Linked DNA regions of Lonchura striata. The protein of the gene in region 1 binds, or shares a complex with, the protein of each later gene. Links are inferred from orthologs where the notes say so. Each region holds a gene or a part of one and is shown on either strand. Other genes may lie near its edges.

Region 1 (7,956 bases):
AATTTTACAGCGAGGAGAACTGTACTATTATGTGGATTGCTCTCCATAAGTACTTTTTCCATTGTCAACATGTCTCTTCAACCTAAATAATACCAAGTCAGAACACTGAGGTCAAATTTTGAAGCTATTCCCTCCTGGCACTCTGCAAGCATGGTTTTGGGCAGCCTCACTGCTAATCACAACTGGGAAACCGTGACAAAGCGGGGGGAAATCTGGGAAGGGCTGACAACTCAGTTCTCAAGGAGTTCTCCTGAAGAACTTCTGCAAAAAGTAGACACACACATTCTTGAAGGATGAGAAATGCTGCTTTTCCTATAAGTATGAAAACCATAGACTTCATTCAAATATTTTGAATAATCTTCCACCAGATATTCTTTCCATACAAGCATAGTGGTGGTGAAATAGATTTCAGTGTCAGTTTGATACCAGCTGCCAGACTGTAAGTTCATATGGCCACATATACTTTGATCCTCTCAGGAATTACTTTGTCCCCTCTCTTGTCTCCTTACGAAGTGAAGACTTGCACATCTGCTACACAAGCATAGAAAGGAGCCATCTAACTGCTACAAAAATAGAGTCATCTGTGGAGTTCTAGCATCCAAACCAGACAATTACTATGTTACTCTACTGCAAGCACAGCAAACAGCACTATACACCTACTTACAAAACTTACTTACTGTAAGATCCGGTTCCCTCCCACCTAAACATCACCACAGAAAATCGTCAGCAAATTCAAGTTAAAAGTAAGGTTTGACAGTGACCATATAAAACACTCAGAGAAAGCCCATGGACACTGCTACTGTTTTCAACCACAGAATTTCCATCTAATAGAAACAATCTCAGTAATTGCAGCTACCTCAAGTCCATACCAGTGGCATTTAGCATAACCACCATATAAATACTAATAAATAAAACCACCATGTCATTTTAACCCAGGATGCAGAGCTTTTGATACCAGGAACCAGTCAAAGTCTGGCTGCCCCTCTGCAAACTGTCTCTTTAAGAAGTACATGGCCATAGTCAGTTACATGTTTTCCTTCCCATGCTTCCACAGGTGGGCCACTTTTTTTCTATAATGAAATTTGCAATGATGTAACCTTTTCCTGGTCACTGTTGTGTGTGTCCCCTGTGCTTACAACTTCAATCCCTCCCAGGTTTAACATTATCCTGCAGAATGCAACTGCCACCCTTTAACACAGCTTAATACTTGGAAGCCAGGATGCAGCCCATTGCCACAGGAGTTACACGGGCCACAGTTTTGGAAAAAAACACAGCAAAGTAATTATTTTTATTAATGCTCTAACACTGATGAACAAATGCTGCAAACACTTCTCATGTGAATGGCCCAATGAGGCATTCAGTGTTCCATAAACAGTCTCACTTTACTGTTCACTGCTTTACCTTAACCAGAGAGGTACTTTCAGCCCCAGACTCCTACATGCAAGTAGACTGCCATGTGCATTAACTGCTGTATATGAATGACAGCTGGTATGCAGCCACAGCCGTATCCTCAAGAATCATTTTTCTCTTTTTTCCAGACAGAATCAGAATATGTTTGCTGTCTTCAAACCCACGTTCTTAGGTGGGGAGATGATGGGAAACTTAGTTCCTGTTCTCCTCCCAGCATCAGCAATTCTCTATTAAAAAGCTGATTTTAAAAATTTTCTCAGGAATCACTTCAAACCAATCAATGAACCGGTCACAATATTCCTTCCATTGCATGTTTCAGGACAGGCTGGCAGTGTGCATTGGCCAAAGTAAAACCGGTAAAAGTGTAAAATGTCTCAGAAGGGATAAGAGAGAGAAGCACACTAAAACTTCTTGGATCGATAAGGCAGAGGAAAGGGGAAGGGCACTGCTGAAGTTCTCAGCCAACGATGCTCATACTGCCCAACAAACCAGTTGATTAAAAAGAAGTTTGCAGCGACAAGAAAGCACGGGGAGGGTGGGAAAGGGAGGAAGGGAGGAAAGAGAGAAAAAAAATATTTTTAAAAAAAAAAGGAAGGGAAGAAACTCAAAACCCAACATGTTGCCCATGGAGGGAAAGCCAAGTCTGCAGCTGCCTGCACACGCACAGCCAGGGATTTCAACATGGGGCTGCGGGAGGCCGGCGCGGCGCTGCCGGGCCCCGCCGCGGGCCGGGCCGGCGCCCCCCGCACCCCGGGGCGCCGCGGAGCGTCCCGCTGGCGCGCAGCCTCCCCCGGGGGCGGCGGCCGCGGAGGAGCCGCGGAGGAGCCGCGGGCGGCCGCGGGCCCCTCGCAGCCTCCCCGGCGCGGGGGGCGGCCCGCGGGGCGCCGCCGGACGCCCCCGCGGCGGGGTCCCCTCGCACCGCCCTCCCCGCCGGGCCTGGAGGGCCGGGAAGCCTGGAGCTGGATTTCCAGCCCTCCGCGGCGCCGCGGCCCCGCCACCCGCCCCGGGGCAGACCCGGCACCGCCGGACCCCGCGCCGCTCTGCCGGCCGCGTTCGGGCGGCTCCCGCACCGACGCCCCCGGGGGCCGCCGGGCACCGGCGAACAAAGGGCCGCGGCCCGCGGGGAGCCGCGGAGGGGCCGCGCCGGCCGCCGCGGAGGGGCCGAGCCCCCCGGCCCCGCTCCCCGGCGGCGCCGGGCACACGCTCCCGCGGGCTCCGCCGCCGCCCCCGGCCCCGCTCCCGCCGCTTCCCCGGCGGGGCAGCCCGGACTTTCCCCCTCGCTTCCCTCCCCGCTCCGGGAAGCGCCATATTGATCGCGGGCGCCGCTCCCCGCGCCCCTCACCTTGGCGATCGCCTTCTTGTACCGGGTCACCGCTTGCTGGATCAGGCTGAAAACTTTCATGTTCCCGTCCCCGCAGGGCACGACCACCCGCGTCCTCCCGAAGCACACCGTGACTTTCATCCTGTGCGGCCGGGGGGCTCCCGCGTCCCTCCGGCCCCGCGCAGCCTTCCTCCTCCTCCTCCTCCTCCTCCTCCTCTTCCCCTCCGCCCTCCGCCACGGCCGCCCCCCGGCGGGGCGCGGCGCTCAGCCCCCGGCCGCCGCCGGGCTGCCGCTGCGGCCGCCCTGCCTCTGCCCCGGCTTCGCGGCCGGCCCGGCAGGCGCGGGGAAGGGAGGGCAGCGCAGGACTGGCCGGTGCTGCCTTCCCGAGGGCCGGGGGCTCTCACATGCCGCGGCGCTGCCCGCGGCCACCTGCCCGGCTCCTGCCCCGGCGCGCAGCGGCGGCGGGCGGGGCGGCGGCGCTGGCTCCGCTCCGCAGGCGTGGGGCGGCGCGGCGGGGCGGGGGCAGCCGGCCGCTCCGCGGGGCGCCGGCAGCGCGGACGGGGCGGGGGAGCCGGCGGGCCCGCACACGATCGGAGCGAGAGCCCCGAGCGAGCCCGAGGTGGTGCGGCTGCCCCCGCCTCGCTCTGCCCCGCCGGGAACCGGGGATGCGGAGCCGGGGCCGCACCGGCACAAGGAGCCCCGCGAAGTCCTGGTCCCGGTGCACGGGGGGAAACGGGCGCCGCCGCCCTGCCTCAGGTACGCGGGTCCGGGGAAAGCAGGGCACGGCACCGCAGAGAAGGCTGGACACCGCGGTGCTCTGCTGTTCCTCCCGGTGTCCGGGGCACGCAGCCACCGCTCACGGCCGAAATCAGATGGCCTTCCTGGTCGTTCGGGCATCTGTTAACGCAACAGGACCGGCACTGTGCAAAACCTCCTTCATCGTCAGTAACACCAGCATCAATGGAACCGCTGAGCAATCTCCTCTGCAAAGCCGTCAGAAGTCATAGGGGTTTGCAGATATCGTTCACTTTTTTCCACGGATTTCATTGAGGACAATGGAATTGCACAGTTCATTGGTCATTCAGTGTGGCCTGACAATATATATCTTTTGTGTAGATATGGTAAAACAATTTAACTAGAGTGAAAGCAGAGTTTGGAGGACAAGAAAGCAGTGAAAAAAAAAAAAAAAAACTTTCTTCTTCTTCTTTCTTTTCTTTTTCCTGAACACACAGCGCTAAATATGTGAAATTCAAGTAAGCTTTGTAGCACATAATGTCAACATCCTTCTACAACACCGGACAACTCAGCACGTGTCCTCTGGTGCTCCCTGCCCGGCAGCTGTCCCAGCTGGCAGTCTGCTCCTGTTCCCTTAGCAATAGTATTAGTAAATTTAAGAACTTCAAACCTGGTACAAATGGCAAAGCTGTCTGCGGTTTAGTAGGTACAGAGGTATGGAGCAGAATTAATGATGTTTTTAAAACATCAAAGGTAGAATTATTGCCCTGTTAAGTCAAGGGTGAGAATGGCATCCCTAACCCTTTGCATTCTAGTTAGGAGTTTCTAGTATAGAAAATGGAGGAGTCAGTTTATATTAATTTGGTTCCATGAATAATGTCCAATTTCATTCAAATCTATAGAACCTTTTTCTATTAATTTCAGTTTTGGAAAGCTTTGGGGCACTCACAAGATCAAAGAATCCATTTGCTGACCTACAGATAATTTTTAGCTTAGATGCCAGTTTTATTAGTTACCCACCCGAGTTATCTGGACTAATATATATGAATTTAAATAAGAAATAGTCTGCCTTTTAAAGCAGGAAACAAGCACACCTGCGTTGTTATATTTTGTCATATCCCCAGTGTTCACTTGTGTGGAATAAAGGCAGTATGCATGAGCTCAGAAAGGCAGAAATAAAATAAAACTGGTGTAAACAGTTTACAGCTCATGACTGAGACAACTGAGTACACTCTGCAGTTTTATGGCCATAGCTCATCAAGTTTATTATTGGAGAAAGATGAAAATGTCCTCTAACCTGCAGCTTCTGTGCTTTCTAGGTGATCATAAGAGCTGCTGGGAAAGGATGAAAGAGCTATAAATCCTTGGTTTAATATACATCACTTAAGAAACTTGCAGAAAGGACTGTGAAAATGTGAAATCAATAGAGGCTCTTCCCAGGCTGTTTTTAACAAGAACTTTACTATGTCATAGACTTTGTAATGTTTCACATTCAGTTGTCATTTGCATTTATCTGCTAAAACAAAATGTTGCATATTAGAAGTTTTTCCACACTGCTCTAAAACTTGATATTTATAAGGCTTAATACTCTTTCTGGTGGATAGTAACTATTTCACTGTTCAGACGCAGCTACAGGTTTTTCATGTTTTTCTGTGATTTAGTTCCTGCTCCTACTGTCTCTAACAAGTTGCTTGGCAGTTTTCCCAGCTGTTCTAACAGTCTCCTGGAAAAAAAAAAAAAAAAAAAAAAAAAAAAAAAAAAAAACAAAAAAAACCTCCAACAGTTTAGAAAGAAATATTGATAGTTTTTCCATTAAATGTGTGAAACAGGAAAATTCAGTAATGACGTACAAGAAAACAAGTCTGTCCTGGGATCTGATTTAAGGCCAAAACTTAAAGACTTGAACATGAATAGTGATAGACCTAACAGGAATGAGAGCCTCAAAGATTTGCGTTTCTTCCCCACTAGATACACACACAAATTATACACACATCATTCTGAAAGCATTTAAAATAAAATTTACCACATATAGTGTTTGTTTTGTTCTTCCTTAAAAGCAAGAATGAACTTTAAAAAAAAATACAACAAGGCTGAGAGATTGTATGAGGCCTAATTATGTACGGTAAATGAAGTATAAAACATTATTATAAGAGATTATGAGAAAAGGATTATACTAATCAGGAGAAGAATTGGCAAGAGTTGCTGGTTTAAAAAAATTACAACTACTATCCAGGCTGCAATATGGGTGGCATATATATGGTTCTGGATGTTGAACTTTCATGGGCTAACAGACCACAGAACCTGTCAATTCATTTATTAATGGTACACTGATGGAGGATTTCCATGAAAACATCATCTGTCTTGCAGGAAGAAGTAGGTGGTGAAGTATGGGATGGAGAGAATCAAAGCTGCTAATGATCACTAGTCAAGTTTTGTTCAAAACAGCCAACCAGTTGAAAGCCGCTGCTGCAAACATGCAAGGAGTGAGAATCTTGCAATTAAATGCAGATTATCAAAAGCCTTTTTTACGGGAATGGTAAATTATTCAGACAGTGGAATGATGCTGATTTCCAGAGTTATCTCACAGTTTATCCCATCTTTATACTCTACATCAGAGAATTTTTATGGAATAATTCTGGATGTGTTCAGGTTTAGTAGTCTGTTCATGGCATACAGATATTCCCTGGTTTCATAAGAAAACCCCAACTCCAGGTAGAGTATGTATTAAGTTCAGTTTCTTTTAAATATAGATATTTCCTTAAGCCCATTAAAGTTCATACAGTACTGTAGAAAGACCAGTGTCAAACTGAACAGCAAGAGTATTCCTTGAAGAATTACAGGTCTTTTTTTAAAAAGTGCCATTTGTGAAAATGCCTTATGGATATACCAAACAGTACTAGGTTTTAATGATTTAAGATAGCTACCTGCTGTAACACTTCTGCTGAGTTATTAGGTAAAGCCTTAAGTTCCTTTTCAAAATTCTGAATTTAAAGTTCTGAGTCGTTTACATTTTACTCTGAGGTAGAAATTTAATCAAAGTAAACATGTCTGTGACTGAGATCTTTCCATGGATAACCTTTCATCTATAGGAATGGGTTGATTTCTCAGATGTTATATTTTGTGACTTTTTTCCTGCCATACTGATGGTTCTTCCACAAAGAAGTAAGGGAGTGTTTCCCATCATTTTCTTTTATGATTGAGAAAATTATTAAAGCTTTTTAAATAATTTGTGGCTAGCCCTGGTCTAAAAACAAAAACAACAAAAACAACAACAAAAAAAAAAAGAAACTGAATAAAAATTTATTTTCTACAATTTCTCAAAAGGGTCTGGGATTTCAGGATTGAAAAGCCCTCAGATCAGTAAGAGGTAGTTACAGAATCACACATGTATTGATGTTCGACTTAGGGAATGCAGACACACAAATTTGGGAAGACAAGAACTTTCCTTGTGGTATAATAGAAGGAGGAAATTGTAGCAAAGAACAATGTATTGTTTTCAAGAAAAGCCACAAGACTGTTACCCTTTCCAGGGGCTCCAACCTGTGTCTCAAGCAACTTTGGGTAGTGGGGAGGTGTTTAGGGCTAAGGAATGAGTATAGGTAAATTCACTACTCTTTTCCTGAATTTTGCTGTTTTTAAAAGAATTATGTTTGAGGAATTTGAATAGTTTTCTTGATAATGCTCGGGTGGTTTTCACCCATCATGGAACTGTATAAATGGAATTGCTTTATCTAATTTATATCAACTAATAGCTTATTGAGCTGAGATCTGGGAAGGCCTGAAATAAACATATTGAGTTACTTCTTGGTTTGGGCCCTTAAAGGCAATCCACAGGTAAGGAAGCAGAATCATTAGAGGTCTAAAAAGTGAAAAACATGAGCTGCATGAAAAGAGTGAAGTTACTGGAGGTGTCCAGAGCACACAAGGGGGCATTGCCAGGAGATACCAAAATAATCTTTGTGTGTGCTAGAGCTATGGAATGTCATAAGGAAAACATTGACACCAATTGCTTCAGCCTGCTCTCATACCACACACTATATTTATGCTATGGGCTGAACAAAATTATGTTCACATAATGATACAGGTAGGGTTCTGAATGTCCCTGCACTGCAAAGCACAAATCTAAGTCACACATTGGAGCTGACCAGCTCCTTTTATTTGCCCTTAGGGCTATGAGGAGTTTGTAAGCCTGTGCCTGCCAGGAGGGACACCCACCACAGGGACTGCACTGGGACGAGAATGATCTCTCACCTTCTCTCATTTTCTCTCATGCCACAGAGCTGTTCTGCAGCCACCGAGGCTGTTCTGCAGGATCCAGCCACCCTAGGGCTTGCTTTGGGGGTATGAGGTTAGTTATACCCAAAGCACATCATCAGTTATAGTTTCAGCAAGCTTTACAGAGGAAACGAAAAGGGAGAACAGGAACACTGAATGTCAACAGCTGAGACCAGAAAATCCCTGCAGAATTTCACAGGACAAAGACGAAGCAC
Region 2 (7,545 bases), on another chromosome or scaffold:
CTGGAACCCAGTGTCCTCAGGAGAAGGGTGGCAGCAGCCTGGGAGGGGGGTCCTTGTGGTCCATGTGGAGAGCAGTTGGAGTTTAAAGCTGGGCTGCTTCAACAACCAGAGTTCATGAATGAAAGGTGACAATTTTCGTTGTTTTTTTTTAAGGAACAGATTGCCTTGGTTTTGGTTTCTATTTTAAGGGTCATTCAAATTAAAATAGGTATGTTCTTCAGGTGAAAAAAAAAATCACTGAAATTGAAGATTGTTTATCAAAAACATTTGTGGAAGATTTTTTATCAGTTTCACACCTCTACACTTGACCTGCTCTTCCAACTGGAATCACGTGTAAAGGTTAGTGTGCTAGAGTTAGCCTGCAGGCTTGTTGTTCCAAACCCCTGTGGATTGTGTCTTCAGTGAGCACATCAAAGGGATTCATGATTCCTTCCTTCAGCTCACTGGTGACGCAGTTCCATTTTATGGCTTCTGCTCAGGCTGTTATAAAGTTTTAGTACAATACGGGTGCATTTTGTACCATCTATTCTTTCCTGGCATTTCCAAACAAGGCAACAATATCATTTGGGACCATTCCCTGCTGAGCATTGTATTAATTAAGTCCTTGATACTTATGAAGCCAGAGGTCTCATTAAGGAGGATGGGACTGACCCTTGCAGGAGAGATCTGCTGTAGTGAAATGAGTGTGGTACAGCCAGAACAGTGCTCTGGAAAACACCTCAGCAGATGTTATCACACCTCCCCAGCAAGCACCCAATTCCACCAGCTTTCACTGAAATTCTTCAGCAGTTTGGGTTTTTTTTAATTCACCTTAAATTAAAAACAAATCAGAGCTACATTGCTTTGTTTAAAAAACCTGACAAGAGGAAGCCGAGTCAGAGTGACTCCAGGATGCGCACCTCAGGCTGTGACAGAAAGGAAACCAGTGACCAAGTGGAAATGACTGAGAGCACTGCACTGCCCTGATTAAAGGCCCAGAAATAACAACACAAGGTACTGCAGAGATTGTGCCTTCCACACGGAGCAGGAATTGTTATTTTTTAACCTTCAGGTAATGGCCCTTCCAGAGAGGCTGCGGACATCCGTCAGATGCAATTGCACATTTCAGATGGGAGGGATTTTGCACTGATTAGCTGAGCTGCTGGAAATTAGCATTTGGGGTTTATTTTTGTAACTGGGAGCCTGTGCTCTCCCCCACCCTATTTTCTAACTGGTCAGAAAAATCCTGGCACAGTATCAGTGCTGTGACTGAATTCCCAGCCTTGGCACACCTTCCCTTGCGCAGCGCCTGTAACGTGCTGGGTTTAGCAGGACAGACTACTGAATCTAACTTTTATAACTGTTACAAAAACATTCCTGGGCTGTACTTGCAAGGGTAAAACCCTTCCCTAGTGAGAGTCAGATAGCAGGATGAGAATTAAAAATTAGTTGCAGCTGTGTCAATAGCTGCCTTTGGTTTTGATAACTGTGCTTATCAAGAAGGGCTTATTTATCATATGGAATTTCACCATAACTCAAATTACTTGAAGAAAAGGGAAGAAAACTCTTACTTAGTGAAAAGTACAGGGACACTTTGTCCACTTTGCAAGGACTTGTGCTGGTTAGGAAAGCAATGAACTTGTTCCTACAACTATGTTTTCCATGAATTCTTTGAGAACTTTCCAGAGCACTGATCAGATGAGACAGTGAACAAGCAACACAGTGCAAACCTGAAACCAGCTGTAAGCACGAGTCAGCCTGCCCTGCTAGGAACACAGCAAGTAGAGAAACTGGAGCTCCTGATCATTAGATCAATCTCCTCATCAACAGATAAAATCTAATTCTGAAGAAAGGTGCTTTAATCTCACATTCATTCTGTGCACTTATCAACCCAGTAACTTACACAAACCCCCCAAGGGTGTCTGTGCACAGCTAGCACAGATTTAACAGATTTAATGTGGTGAGTGAGGGCTGGGTTTCTGCCCATTATAACACAGTCCTCTCAGCAGTAGCAAGATGACAGCTATTGCTTCAGATTCCCAGGAATGTCAAATCCAAACTATGCAAAGCATCTGTAAAGCAAAGTTGAGTTCCACCCCATCATTCAAGAGAGGAAGGACTATTTTAAACTTTACTAGTCTGGCAAATGGCTCAGTCTGCATTTCAATAACACAGGCTGAACTCAAAGTTTCACAGAAAGACATGCTGATCTAAACCAGACATACCTGACCCAGGTGCCACAGAGCCCCAGAGCAGCAGCTAATGAACATCTGTGGGAAAAGCACTGGAAAGAAGCAAATGATCAGTAAGGGCAGCTGGATATAGCATGGAAGAAAACTCATACAGCAGAGCTGAACTGAAAAGGGCTTGATGCCATTTGGAGACAGGAATGGCAGGAATGCACCATGAAATGATGAGTAAATAATTACCACTCCTTTTGTTCTGCCACCATCTCCATCCATGAGTCACACAGACAGTGTGTGCTAATTGATTTTTTACCTGTTCCCTTCAATTCCACCAGCTGGACTGTTAAATAATATTTCATACCCAAAATCACACAATTAAAAGGTAATTATGTCTGCCAATGTTGTCTGATCATGCAAATTATTTTTCTCATTAGCAGAACTTACTGTGAATTAATAATATTTTTGAAGCATTACCCTCTGGCTTGCAAAAGGCATGAGCCACCAAGGAATTTTTCCAAAGTCTTATGATTTGGCCACAATGATAAAATCTGAAAGTCTAAGATCTACAAGAAATCCTGCTTGCCAGCATTTTGTGTCATCAGCTTTAAACCACAGTGCTTTCACTGCCTAGGAGGGACAGCAGGGCAAATGTCTGGGATCAGCCAGAGGGTACAGAGCACCTGAACCTCCAGGAGCTCTGCTGCTGCTGGGAGAGGGCTGCTAGAATTGGTTCTGCTTTCCATAAAATCTCAATGGACCTCTCCTCATAGCCAGAAAGGAAACCTAAACAACCAGTTCAGCAGAGATGGAATCTATAAAGCATCGTTGGAAGGTTTTAGATGGTAAATCAGGTCTCTACAATTTCAATGGAAGTATCTTCCTCTTAAACTTACAGAAGATTTTCGGTTTTCTATCGAGCTCTGATGCAGAGCATGTGAAAAGGCCTTTAGAAACTTTCTCAGTTCTTGCCTTGAACTTTTTGGGGGAGAAGAAGCAAATCAGATAATAGGAAGGTAATTATCAGACATTAAAACAGACCTGGACAACCTGAGCTGTGGCCTCAGGGCACACAGAGAGAGCCCTGGGGTCTCCTCTTTTCCCTCTGAGCAGAGGGATGATTCCCCTCCCTCCTCCTTTCTTGAATGTCACCCTCAGTCCCAGCCTCACACGGGGACATCAGAGGTACAAGGGGCTGGAAATGCAGCTGGAGCCACTTGCAAGGGTAAATCCTATCTGAGCCCCCTGTCTGCTGTGGGCACCTGATTATCAGGGAGCTGCTTCCTGAGCAGAGATCTGCACTTGCCTGGAAAACCCCTATCAGCATCTCCCTGCTCCTCTCCCAGCCGTGACACAGCTTATTTAACAACTCATTTTCCTGCAAGGAAACTGGACTCTCGGGCTCCTTACACAAGACTGAAGAATTTCTCCTTTTTTTTTTTTTTTTTTTTTTTTTTGTAATAATTAATGTAACAAATTCCTTCAGAAGCCATTCATCTTCACTGAAGATGAATGTACACCATGAAAAAGTGAAACAATCTGACCAACCTCAGCCTCCTGGCAAGGCAGGAAATCAATCCCACCACCTGTGCTGGACTGTAATGACAAATTATTTAACTGTGGAATAATATTAAAAATTTAATTCAATAATTAAAATTACTAATGTCATACTTAAGATACATTGAACATTTGCCTGCATTTATTATAAGTGGTTCCAAAGAGTGCATTTTGAGTAAACCCCACACTTCTCAGTTTTCTTCTGCATTACTTAATGAAAAAAATCCTCTTTCATTTGTAGTGCACAATGCCAAGAGCTACACCCTTGTGTTCAGTTTAACACTGAAGCTTCCCCTTCTGAGTGTCCTGAGTGGTCTCCAGACTTAGAATCACCATAATCAAGATGCTATGAACATTTCTTCTTATGAAAGGCCTGCCTACACTGCCTTGCTCCTCTGGTCTTCACTTTACCTGTGAAAAATACTGTGAAATTTCATCTTTACACCCAGCACTGGCAGAGCTTAGCAGGAACCCAGTCTCATTAACAGGAAGGCTCTACCTTTTTGGTTTCCAGGTATAAAAATTCTTATAGGTAGGACACTTCCAAACTGCTTTGAAAGTCCTGTTTATGCAAAGCAGGCATAGTCTGTGCTGATCAGACACTAAAAGTTTCTCTTAGAAATTTGCTACCTCTTAAAATTCTCTCTAAAACGATACCAAATAACAGACCAACTCTGGTGTTTCTCTCAGAGTTTCCTTTTATCCAGGTCCCTCATTAGAGTCAGCAACAAATAAGTAGATAGAGAAATAATAAGGCTAACTTTATCTTGTTTCCTCCACTCCCTTTTCTCACTGCATTAGTAAGACTTGGAACAATAACAGGATGCCGGGATGCAGGATGGGAAAGGCTGACTCCCAGCTGGAAAAGCTTGGAGACTGGAGAGCTGAACACTCCCAGTATTGCTTAACGAAAAGAGAAGTGGATTTTTCTATTTGATCTTCATTTTTTGTATTTTGCTTAACATTTTGGGATACTGTTGGGTTTAGTTTGCCTGATTTGGTACCACACTGAAGCTCTGCCACCTCGGACTCTGGTAAGAGACAAATGTTATTTTCTGTCCTTCAGCCATGAAGTTCATTTCAAAGGGTTTTTTACCTCCACCCAAATTATTTTCTAATGTCTTAAATAAGTTAAGAAATATCAGCAAATGGGCTATGAATTTTATACATGTCCACAAAATCCTTTTGGCGTTACACTGATGGCACCCGCACCAAGTACAAACAGCAGAGCTCTTTACAATTGACACTGCAAGAGGAAAATCTCTGGCTTTGTTGGGCTATAATATTCCCAGGTTATTAAAAAAAAAAAAAAAAGAGAGAGACATTTCATGGGTTTTTTGAGTATTGCTTTGTAATATTTAGATTGTGTTGCCAAAGTTCATCTATAATGAAAAAGAGGTGGAGAATATGCTGGAAAATGCACCTGTAAAGCCTTTAGGAAGGGATTTCCCTACTGGTGTGGGCAGGTGCAGCTCCAGGACTGTTTTCAGTGAGCAGAGGTGTGCTGGGCTGGGATTTGATGCAAATTTTTTATTGAAGTGGGGTGGATTTGGGGTCTGTAAGGTGGGGGGCCTTCCTGTGCCCTGGGCCAAGAGGTGACAGCCACCGTGTGCACTGGCATATCTGTTAAAAACTGGGAAGGGAGTTTATATAAATCCAGGTCAGTGATTTGGTCCTAATTCATAAGTTTAAAGAGTCCCAGGTACTTTAACGCCATAACTCTGGAGTACCAGGTTTTACAGACCCTGTTCTAAAAGACCAGTAATTCTTATTCCAGAGGTTTCTTGATCTCAGTGGTTCAAAAAGACCCATCTTTTTTTTCTGATGGGTTATTTTATGAGCAGTGGCTTGACACAAAAAGTTGTTTGAAAAGGCTTTTATCTTGTCCTAGAGCAGGTGTAGCAGGTCCCTGAACTAACAAGCTTGCTGTGCAGCTTGCAGAGACAAAGCATGTATGCATAAGAGATGAGCTGATAGTGGTTCTTCTCTAAGAAATCTATTCTGCAATAGTGGGACTGTCAGTGTGCACAGCACCTCACCGTGCTGGCTGTCACACTGTAATAAAGATAAAGGAAGGAAAGAAATGCAAGGGGAAAAAAGATATGGAAGAAGATTAATTTCTGTGAGAAAATCTCTTTCATTCTTAGCTCCCAAAAACATTCCAAGTTGGCTGTTTCTGCAGTTAACAAAGGTATAGTTAATCAATGTTTCTCTGCCTCCTGTGAATATAAATCATTAGATCAGCATTTGTAAAAGCACACAGTATTATCGATGATCATGCAGGAAAATATATTAGACAAAAGCAAGGATGCTCCAATGATTTACAAAAGCTTCTCATCTTAGGTTAATGTGTGCCTGGTAACAACAACCCATATACCAGAAACAAATCACAGAAATGCTGACTTGAAATTTATCTCTGATATCTCCAAGAGTTACCTTTTATCCTTAAATAAAAGGTGACCCACAGGAGAAAAGGACATAGGATGCATTTAGCATACGAAAGCCTTAGAATAGTACAGTATGCTAGAGAGAATAATGTGCATTTACAAGTAATAAAACAAATTAATTTGAAAGCAAAGGATAAACTCAATTTAAAAAGTCATTCCTGATTTGCCCACAAAGCCACAAACCTGGGTTATTTTTCAGACTGCTACAGCTGCATTGCAATGCAACAAGAAGCATTTCCCAAAGCTTTGCTCTTTAACAGAAGCCCGTAACAGTGTTCTTTGAACATTTTTAGAATAAATGTTAACACTGAAATTGAGTCCTGGAAGAAGAGCATGTCCCTGAGCAACATGCAGCTTGCAGGATATGGGGCACAGAGGCAGGGCAGAGTTAAAAGCTCTGCTGCCAGCTTTGCCTCACATCCTGCCTCTGCTGAGGGAAACTGGCTGAAAACAGGATTGAGGTAAAAATCACGGGGCATGGTTCAGAAACCATGGTTCAGAAAGTGATTTACAGCAGTTATGGAACAAAGGACTTCACTGTCCCTCATAAATCAACTACTTCAATTAATATTTCAAATTCAAAATAGAAAAACTTTCCTAAAACTCTTGTTTTCTGGGTATGTGTCTACAGAACTACAGGTTTAAATCAGGCCAGTAAATACTTTTTGTTTTCTAAAAGAGCAGAGGTTCACAGAATCAAGATAACTGATTATTTCTGGCAGCTGACCTTTCTGTAAGGAATCGCCATTGTATTTTCATCATAATTCCAGGTTTTGTCAGATTCTACAAGTTTAATTCAGAGGTTCCAATGTTAGTGCCAAGAAGAAAATAAGAGGTTCCCTTTGTGAGAAATTTGTTGGGCATTAAATTACTTTGGTACTTTCTGTTTGTTTGTTTGTTTGTTTGGGGTTGTTTGTTTGTTTGTTTGTTTTTTAATTTGACAAATGGGTTTCCCTTGTTATCTTTGTGAGTTTACAAGCTGAAAACCCCTCAGAGTTTAGCACAGGTGTGAGCGGTTTCCCTTCCTCCCCGGAGCACAGCAGACAGGGATTACTGGGGCAGACTGGAGATCTGCTGGGACAGAGGTGCCCAGCCCACAGCCACCAGAGCAGCTCCCACACAGAGCTTGGTGAGCCCGGAGCTGGACACTCTTTTGAGCCATGGTAAAGGTTTTCTGTGGGTTTCCCTTCAGGGCTCTGCTCTGCCAAGGGCCATGCAGGTGGAGCAAACACAGAAAACAAACCCTCCTGTCAGGGCCAGGTGCCACGGGCTGTGCTGCTTCCAGGGATCCTGCGCCAGAGCCTGGCCCCTGCCAGAGTCCCTGCAAACCCAGGGGTCCCACCAAGCAATGCTGGCACTAAACCTGTGCAAAATGAGGG

What was found. Proteins that work in one complex are often made in the same cells at the same time.
Region 2: the proteins of PARD3 (region 1) and CDH5 are in contact, whole or in part, in an NMR structure (PDB 2KOH), measured with the Mus musculus proteins. The link is inferred for Lonchura striata from reciprocal best matches to the Homo sapiens genes PARD3 and CDH5. Residues at the interface, in NP_296369.2 of Mus musculus: Ala599, Gly600, Leu601, Gly602, Val603, Ser604, Val605, Lys606, Gly607, Arg609, Lys611, Lys622, Ile625, Asn655, Gln656, Met659, Arg663, Met666; in NP_033998.2 of Mus musculus: Tyr774, Gly775, Asp777, Gln779, Glu780, Glu781, Leu782, Ile783, Ile784.

The regions. Positions count from the first base shown.
Region 1 is NC_134603.1:143,725,883-143,733,838, forward strand, and holds the start of PARD3 (partitioning defective 3 homolog), read right to left. Parts: upstream 3,002-7,956; 5' UTR 2,873-3,001; coding exon 2,753-2,872; intron 1-2,752. UniProt on the Homo sapiens protein: Adapter protein involved in asymmetrical cell division and cell polarization processes. Seems to play a central role in the formation of epithelial tight junctions. Targets the phosphatase PTEN to cell junctions.
Region 2 is NC_134615.1:2,279,315-2,286,859, forward strand, and holds the start of CDH5 (cadherin-5), read left to right. Parts: upstream 1-4,539; 5' UTR 4,540-4,753; intron 4,754-7,545. UniProt on the Homo sapiens protein: Cadherins are calcium-dependent cell adhesion proteins. They preferentially interact with themselves in a homophilic manner in connecting cells; cadherins may thus contribute to the sorting of heterogeneous cell types.